2 linked regions of the Macaca mulatta genome follow. The protein of the gene in region 2 binds, or shares a complex with, the protein of the main gene of each other region. Links are inferred from orthologs where the notes say so. Each region holds a gene or a part of one and is shown on either strand. Other genes may lie near its edges.

What was found. Proteins that work in one complex are often made in the same cells at the same time.
Region 1: the proteins of GDF5 (region 2) and BMPR1A are in contact, whole or in part, in a crystal structure (PDB 3QB4), measured with the Homo sapiens proteins. The link is inferred for Macaca mulatta from reciprocal best matches to the Homo sapiens genes GDF5 and BMPR1A. Residues at the interface, in NP_000548.2 of Homo sapiens: Arg399, Phe435, Pro436, Leu437, Ser439, His440, Glu442, Pro443, Asn445, Val448, Ile449, Leu452, Ser455, Met456, Pro458; in NP_001393490.1 of Homo sapiens: Gly65, His66, Cys67, Pro68, Ile77, Thr78, Phe83, Ile85, Glu87, Cys100, Met101, Lys102, Glu104, Gly105, Phe108, Gln109, Asp112, Ser113, Lys115, Ala116, Gln117, Arg120, Ile122.

What each region holds. Positions count from the first base shown.
Region 1 is NC_133414.1:62,961,087-62,964,735, forward strand, and holds part of BMPR1A (bone morphogenetic protein receptor type-1A precursor), read right to left. Parts: intron 2,305-3,649; exon of another isoform or gene 2,140-2,304; intron 1,804-2,139; coding exon 1,641-1,803; intron 1-1,640. UniProt on the Homo sapiens protein: On ligand binding, forms a receptor complex consisting of two type II and two type I transmembrane serine/threonine kinases.
Region 2 is NC_133415.1:88,244,590-88,248,935, forward strand, and holds the start of GDF5 (growth/differentiation factor 5), read right to left. Parts: upstream 2,880-4,346; 5' UTR 2,496-2,879; coding exon 1,871-2,495; intron 1-1,870. UniProt on the Homo sapiens protein: Growth factor involved in bone and cartilage formation. During cartilage development regulates differentiation of chondrogenic tissue through two pathways.

The DNA of each region.
Region 1 (3,649 bases), on a different chromosome or scaffold from region 2:
AAGGATTTCGATTAAACAAGTCCTCTACATAGGAGTTATGTGACTTTTCTTTGCTAATCACAGTCATGTAATCACAGAAAGCTGATTTATACAATTTTATAAGGTAAGTCATGTTTTGAAAATATACTTTAAAATAACTTTGTCTCTTTTTACCCATTTTTTCAGTACTCCCATATTGTATATGCTAATAGATAAAAACTTTTCTCTGAAATATACAGATAGGCTTAATGACCCAAAAAAGGGGGACTGAAAGGCACCTTTTACTGAATATGATGGGAAAACAGGGAGAGGACTTTTGAATAAATTTTCAATAAATTTACATACATATATTTAATGAAATTATTATCTTAGTGTTAGCATCCTGGAATTTCCCCTTAATATATTCATATAGACTTCAACAGGTCTGGGAGAAATTTCTAAAAGCTTTTTCTGCGCTCCTATTTATTGTTAATATCAGGAATTGTGCTGCTTCTACTTAGAAGAATTTTGCAGAATTCTTTGTTTTCTGTCAGGAGAAAATGTTACGTGTGGGGCAGAATTCTGCTAAAATGGATGACTCAGTTTTACTCTGGGTTACTCTGGGTTACTAACAGACAGCCCATTATATCAGGCAGGTACTACAGACAAGAAATTTAGCAAAAGATTATTTGGTGACACAGTGGAGAGCAGTTCCCTGCTGGCAAACTCCCAGGAAGGTGTAAATGGAAAACTAGTCACAGTCAGCCATGCAGAGTCCACCACCACCAGGGGACAAGCAGCACACCTAAGACACGATGACCATCACATAGGTTCAAGAGTTTACGTGTAAAGTTTCATGCTTTCTATCTGGTCCATTCAAGGAGCATACAATTATTAAAAGTACAAAACATGACATTCGTTACTGCCTCTATAACAAGGAGACAATTAATTCAGGTTGAGTTGTTCAGGCAATTTTTTTTTTTGGTCTTATTAAGTCAATATGTCAAGTGTTTCCAACAAATATGGACTAGAATTACATAATCATATATAAACATGTTGTGGAGTTAACATGAAATACAGTAGAAAAATTATAAATCAGATTTGGATTGGTAAATTCACAGGTAAGAAAAAAGTTCAAAATTAATTAACACAATATGATTAATATATATCCGCAGAATATTTCAACCAATTAAAAAGTAGGAGGCCAGGTGTGGCAGTTCACACTAGTAATCCCAGCACTTTGGGAAGCTGAGGTGGAAGGATTGCTTGAGCCCAGGAGTTTGAGACCAGCCTGGGCAAAATAGCAAGACCCTGTCTACAGAAGAAGTAGGAGGTTGTCGGTGAGTTTTTTGATTTTTTTTTTTGGTAATCTCTAAGTTTTCTAAAATGACTTCAAGATTAAAAGATCATTAAAAAACTCAGATGTTAAAAAAAATACTAAATCCCTTTGAAATTATTTTAAAAGCTGCATTATAACATAATTCTAATATAGTAACTCACCTATCAATCATTTAATGGAGTAATGTTCTAATACACAAAACACAAGGCTTTTTGGCTTTCTGGAAAGATACCATATATGAAGGAAAAAAAAAAAACCTTAGACAAGCTTAATAATTCTTAAAATAGCACTAAATGCAACTCTATTCTCCTAACTCTTAAGAAGGGCTGCATAAAATACTTACATGCATGTGTTATTAATAGCATCATCCGGGCAGTGCCCTGAGCAATAGCACTTTAAAAAAGGCAAGGTATCCTCTGGTGCTAAGGTTACTCCATTTTCTGACTTTTTCTGGTCGGAGTCTGATTTCATCCCAGTGCCATGGAGCATACTGTCTAGATTCTGTCCTGCATTCAAATATGGAATTTGTAAGTAAATCATTTCTGAAAAGCTCATTGTTTGATTACAATTTTCAATGAGAAAACGTTGCTAAGCTTTCTTATCACAATAATTGTAGCTAACATGTTTCTTTAGAAATGTAAATTTCATTCATACAACAAACAGACATTTCTTAATAAGTTACTATGCACAGAATTACTGCACCAGGTATTGTGGGGTATATGAAGACAGCTATATCACAATTTTTGCACTAGTGAAAGACAAACAAGAGTGGTACAAGGCAGAATACAGTCAAATCTTGTTTTTTATATTTTTAAAATAACTTTAAAAAATTTTAATTTAACCAGGGGAAAGCATGAACACAGTCCCTCACTATCACAATTATGCAGTTGAGTTTCCCATGTTTGGGGAAATCACAGGGGTCAGCACATCTGGAGTGCAATGAATAAGCCTCGCCCTGGGAAAACCACCTTCGTGACCCTGGTCTCTCCCTTGTCAGGTTAAAGTATACAGTCATCACTTGTAAGAAAGGTACAAAATGGGGAGAGACTTCAGAGACGTCTGTGAGAGTTTCCAACCATTAAATAGAGACAAGTTATGATTCTTCTTTTAACTCTTTGGTTCAAAACTTGTGACTAGCTTTCCTTTATTTGCGCCTCTATGTGGAAAAGGAGTTACTAAGCATCTTGCTTTGGCCTTTAATTGCTTAAGTAAGGAAATCATGAGAGCACAGGGACCAATCATGTTATCTGGAGACTTTTACCTCAAGGTCATTGGTTTGAATGCAGACCAGGGTGGCAGAAAGTGAAGGTTATAGAAGGGCAGCAGTTAGCTCACAGAAATGGAACTATGTTCTTACATGAGAGCCTAGTAGCCTGCAGTGACACATACTGTCATATCTGGTACTAAATCTTTCAGGTTGGAAACAGAACAGTACTAAAAAGACTGTTCTAGTAATTACTTCTTCTCTCTGACTCAGCTAGGCCATTCTTTGTGGGTTACTCTCAAGGGAATAAAAGGTAGAACCAAGCAGACAAGTGTATATGTATTTCATTATAAATGTTAAATAAGTGGTTCAAGACACAACACAGACTTGACATTACATTTAACATACTGATAAGATAAACTACTGAAAAGACAAAAAATATCACATATGCACACACTGATAACAGAAAAAGCACTGCTAAATAGTATTTTGGTGATTCCACGCCTTCAGTTTTAATAATCTTCACTTTTTTTTTTTTTGGAGACATGGTCTCACTCTATTGCCCAGGCTGGAGTACAGTGATGTGATCATAGCTTACTGCAGCCTCAACCTCCCAGGCTCAAGTGATCCTCCCACCTCAGCCTCTAGAGTAGCTGGGACCAAGGGCACATGCCACCAGGCCTGGCTAATTTTTAAATTCTTTATAGGGACAAGGTCTCCCTATATTGCTCAGGTTGGTCTTAAACTCCTGGGCTCAAGTGATCCTCCCGCCTCAACCTTCCAAAGTGCTGGGAATACAGGCGCGAGCTACCATACCTGGCCAATAACCTTCACTTTCTTATGCTGAATATTTAGTAAAGGAATTTGCTACTGAATGACTATATATTAACAAACAACAGGAGAGAAAACTTTTTTTTTTTTTTTGAGATAGAGTCTCCTCTGTCACCCAGGCTGGAGTGCAGTGGCGCAATCTTGGCTCACTGCAACCTCTGCCTCCCAGGTTCAAGCGATTCTCCTGCCTCAGCCTCCCGAGTAGCTGGGATTACAGGCACCCCCCCATCATGCCTGGCTAATTTTTTTGTATTTTGTTGGTAGAGACGGGGTTTCACCATGTTGGCCAGGCTGGTCTCAAACTCCTGACCTCAAGT
Region 2 (4,346 bases):
CCAGTGCAAGGATTTTGTTGCCTATGTGTCTTACTCTCCTGAGTGTGTGCGTGTGTTACAGTTGTATGTGTGTGTGTGATTGGGTTCATGTGTGAATATGAAAGAGTATACGTTAATGTTGGGTTCATGTGTGAATATGAAAGAGTATACGTTAATGATGCATTATATGTATAAATGATTGGGCTTGTGTACTATTTGAAGAGCACATATATGTATGTATGTGCATAATCGATCTTGTGTACACGTGTATGTAAGAAGGTGTGTGTGCACATGCGTACGTGTGTGATTCGGCATGCGTGTACATGTGTGATTCGGCATGTGTGTACATGTGTGGTTCAGCATGTGTGTACGTGTGTGAGTCAGCATGCGTGTACATGTGTGATTCAGCACGTCTGTATAAACATAAGGCTATGTATGCTTATGTGAGAAGCTCAGTAGTATCTCTGAATCAGCATGCCCTCCTTCCTGAATACCAATTTGCCATTGGGGAGCTTTCATATATTGCTCTAGAAGGTGACTAATTAGGCCTTTAAACTCCCCATCTCCCCCTCTCGAAGCTCCCTTAGTGCTGGGGGGCACAAGGACTTATTTTATGAGCCCCCAAGGGGTCACAGCTTTCCCTGGCTGGGCAGGCAGCCAGACCACCTCCCCCACCTCAGCCAGACCTGCTGCCTCTGTGCCTCTCCCACCCCCCCACCCCCCGCCCCGGCAGCCCCCTCCAGGCCAGCTCTAATGAGAAACCTCTCCCACCCTCTGACCCCTCCCCCACCCTGCCAGCCTAGGACCAGAGCAAATGAGCTGCAGGCAACTTGAGCGACCAACAGCCCACCTCCCTCTTCACACTAGGAAGAAACTGAGGCCCTCAGAGCGGGAGGGACTTGCTTAGATCACACAGCAAGTGGAGAGGAAAAGCTGCAACAGTAACACTAGGTGGGCAGAGAGAGACAGAGGGGAGCAGAGAGAGACAGAGGGGAGCAGAGAGAGACAGAGGGGAGCAGAGAGAGACAGAGGGGAGCAGAGAGAGACAGAGGGGAGCAGAGAGAGACAGAGGGGAGCAGAGAGAGACAGAGTGGAGCAGAGAGAGACAGAGGGGAGCAGAGAGAGACAGAGGGGAGCAGAGAGAGACAGAGGGGAGCAGAGAGAGACAGAGGGGAGCAGGTAGTCTCCCGAGTTAATGTAAGGAGAATGAGGCGTGTTCAGGACAGGACCTAAAGTTTTCATGTCGGAAGCGCTCTCAGAAACCACCCTGTCCAACCCCATATAGGTGTACAGATGGGAAAACAGAGACCCCAAGTGAGAAGGGGCTTTCCCAAGGTCACACTGCGAGTTAGACCCTAGGTCTGCTCCCTCCCCATATATTCGAACATCATTCCATGACTCCAAGATGCCCCATTTACTGTGAGCACCTCTCTTGCCTCCTCTATCCCCTTGCCTGAGGGCAAAGTTGCAGAACCACGGGGACCTCAAGATTCATTTCTTTCTCTGCCATCTGAGACCACCTACAAACCCCTGGAGCGTGGAAAGTTCGGCCAGCCCAGCAGGGACAGATGCACAGCTGGGGAATCAAGTCTTGGAATCCGGTCTCCAACTCTGCCACCAACTGGCAGGTGTTGTCTCCTCTCTAGGCTTTAGTGCCCGCCCTGCACCTTGCAGGCGTTGAACCTGGTGATTCCTAGGTGCCCTCCAGCCCTGATGTGTGGGCAGCTCGGGATCTGCTATGTGTGAGATATGTGTGAGCGTCCCCATACACCCACCCCGGGCCAGATGCACACAGTGTCTCCCACCAGGGCAGTGCCAGGGCTTTGAAAGCCCCTCCATTCATGCAGATGCCCCTCCCTCTGAGCCGTGCCCCTGCCACCCCGCCCCTCACCTTGCCCTTTGTCAATAAAGCTGGTGATGGTGTTGGCCAGGCCAGCCTCCAACTTCACGCTGCTGTTGCCTCCCTTTCTGTCAGCATCGGACAGCGTCCTGTACAGCGAGAGCATGTACTCGTGGGGTGTGATGGGGGGCGGGCGGAACGGCTCCTTGGGCTCTCGCGGGGACCCGGGCTCCCTGGCCTTCTTCAGCAGGAAGGAGCTGGGGACAGATCCTGCTTTTGGGGGTACCTTGCCCCCGGGAAGCTGTCCTTTTGGGGTCACAGTCCGGGCTGTAGCCTGCCTTGTTTGGGGAGGGTGTCCTGGCTTGGGTTCAGGGCCACCCGGTCTGGGGGGCAGCTTTTTGGGTTCATCCTTTTTGGGCTGTGTCAGGCCTCCTGTGTGCCCGGTGCCTCCCTTTGCCCTGGCATTGGCGGCCCCCCCACCATAGCTGTGACCCCCTGGCCTGAAGACGTTCCGGGCCAGGGGGGGCCTCTCCTTGGCCTCTGCTTTGGCCAATCCTGGCCTGGTCCCCTGGGCTTTCTGGCCCCAGTCAGGGGCACCCAACACAGTGCAGATGAATTCCAGGTCCAGCCAAGCCAGGTACCAAAGCAAGAAAGTGAGGAGTTTGGGGAGTCTCATCCTCTGGCCAGCCGCTGAATGACACCAAAGAGAACAGCGGCAGCAGCGAAGGTGCCTCTGGTTTGGCAGGAAAAACCATGAAAGGAGTGGACTTTCAAAAGCAGCGGCAGCAGCAGTAGCAGCAGAAGGAAAGGCTTTCTCCTCAGTCTGAGACTCTTGAAGTCTGCCGGGTGTGTGTTTGTATCCAGTCCCATAGTGGAAATGCTCTCGTATCCAGACGTGCACCGTCTCCAGTCAGCAGCTGAAAATAACTTGTTCTTGAAAGGAGAAAGCCGACCGCCCCCTTTCTCCTGCACAACTGACTGAGGGCTTGAAGGAGGCTTGTATAAGGCTGAGGGATTTTTCCAAGAAGGAAGAATGGCGTAATGCTGCCTGTGTGCTCCAGTTTTTTTTTCCCCCTAGTTTTGAATCCTTTCCAGTGAAAATACTTCACACACACACACACACACACACACACACACACACAGGCCTGCAGGTGCTCAGAAAAATCTTTTACAAACCTGAACTCAGGAATTGGAAACGGAATTCCAACCCAAACCAATTTAATTACTCTCTGATGTCATGCTGTCTAAACTCATTTAAGTGCGATATATTTATGTGAAAAAAATCACCGCTGCCCTTTCGAGGCCATGGCTCACGGGGGCTCTTGGCACAGAGCCCCGCAGCGGGACTCTAGGCTTAGGGGGCCTCCCCCTCCATGGAGCAGACTCAGGGGTCTTCACCTCCACCTCATGGAGCAGCCCACCCCACCTTCCCAAGGAGAGATGCTGAAGAATGAGCTCAAAGATCTTAAGCCCCAGAAGCATGGGGAGTGTGGGTTTGTAGTTAAGTCCTTAGAGTGTTTTTAAAGCAGTTTCAACTCCTGCATCTAGCCTGGGACCTGATTTGTTGTATGTGTGTGTTTATGTGTGTCTGTGTGTGTGTGCCTCTGTGTGTGTGTGTGTGTGTGTGTGTGTGTGTGTGTGTGTGTGTGTATTGGGAGTAGGGACAGCACAGATGGCAGCATTTACCCACATTTTCTTTTATTTTAATAAACTTGTGGTGACCCAGAGACTGAAAAATATCTGTGCCCACTACACCCCCTCCCTACCACCAAATGCCATTGACTGAGTGCATATTCTTCAGGCTTGGGGGCACTGCCGCCCTAAAGTCCACTCCTTGGATGGCGGCAGGTCCAGGGTGTACCCCACCTCCACCCCGGCAAAGACGTCCTCCGAGTTTTCTTAGAAGAGACTGGCTGAGTCTGGGGCAGCAGCGGCCCCTACAGGAGGCTGGAAAAGCCATTTCCCACATGATGCTTTTCTTTTTTCTTTTTTCTTTTTTTCTACGGAGTCTCGCTGTGTAGCCCAGGCTGGAGTGCAGTGGCGCGATCTCGGCTCCCTGCAAGCTCCGCCTCCCAGGTTCACGCCGTTCTCCCGACTCAGCCTCCCGAGTAGCTGGGACTACAGGCCCCCGCTACCACGCCCGGCTGATTTTTTATGTTTGTAGCACAGACGGGGTTTCACCGTGTTAGCCAGGATGGTCTCCATCTCCTGACATCGTGATCCACCTGCCTCGGTCTCCTAGAGCGCTGAGATTATAGGCGTGAGCCACTGCGCCCGGCACAATTTCCCACATGATGCTTTTCTGGTAAGTCTGGAAGTTCTGAATTCCAGCTGAACTCGAGTATTCTAAATGAAAACCCATTGAAGTATGGAAGCTCCCTTCCTCTGGGGGACCTGTGCGATAGAGCCCCTGGGCAACTTACCCCAGGGTCAGCGGGGAAAGCTGTTCACTTCACCTGAAATCTCCTCCTCTCTCTCTCCCACAACTGGAGGAAACACTCCACATCCTGAGAAGTTTAGCTGAAAA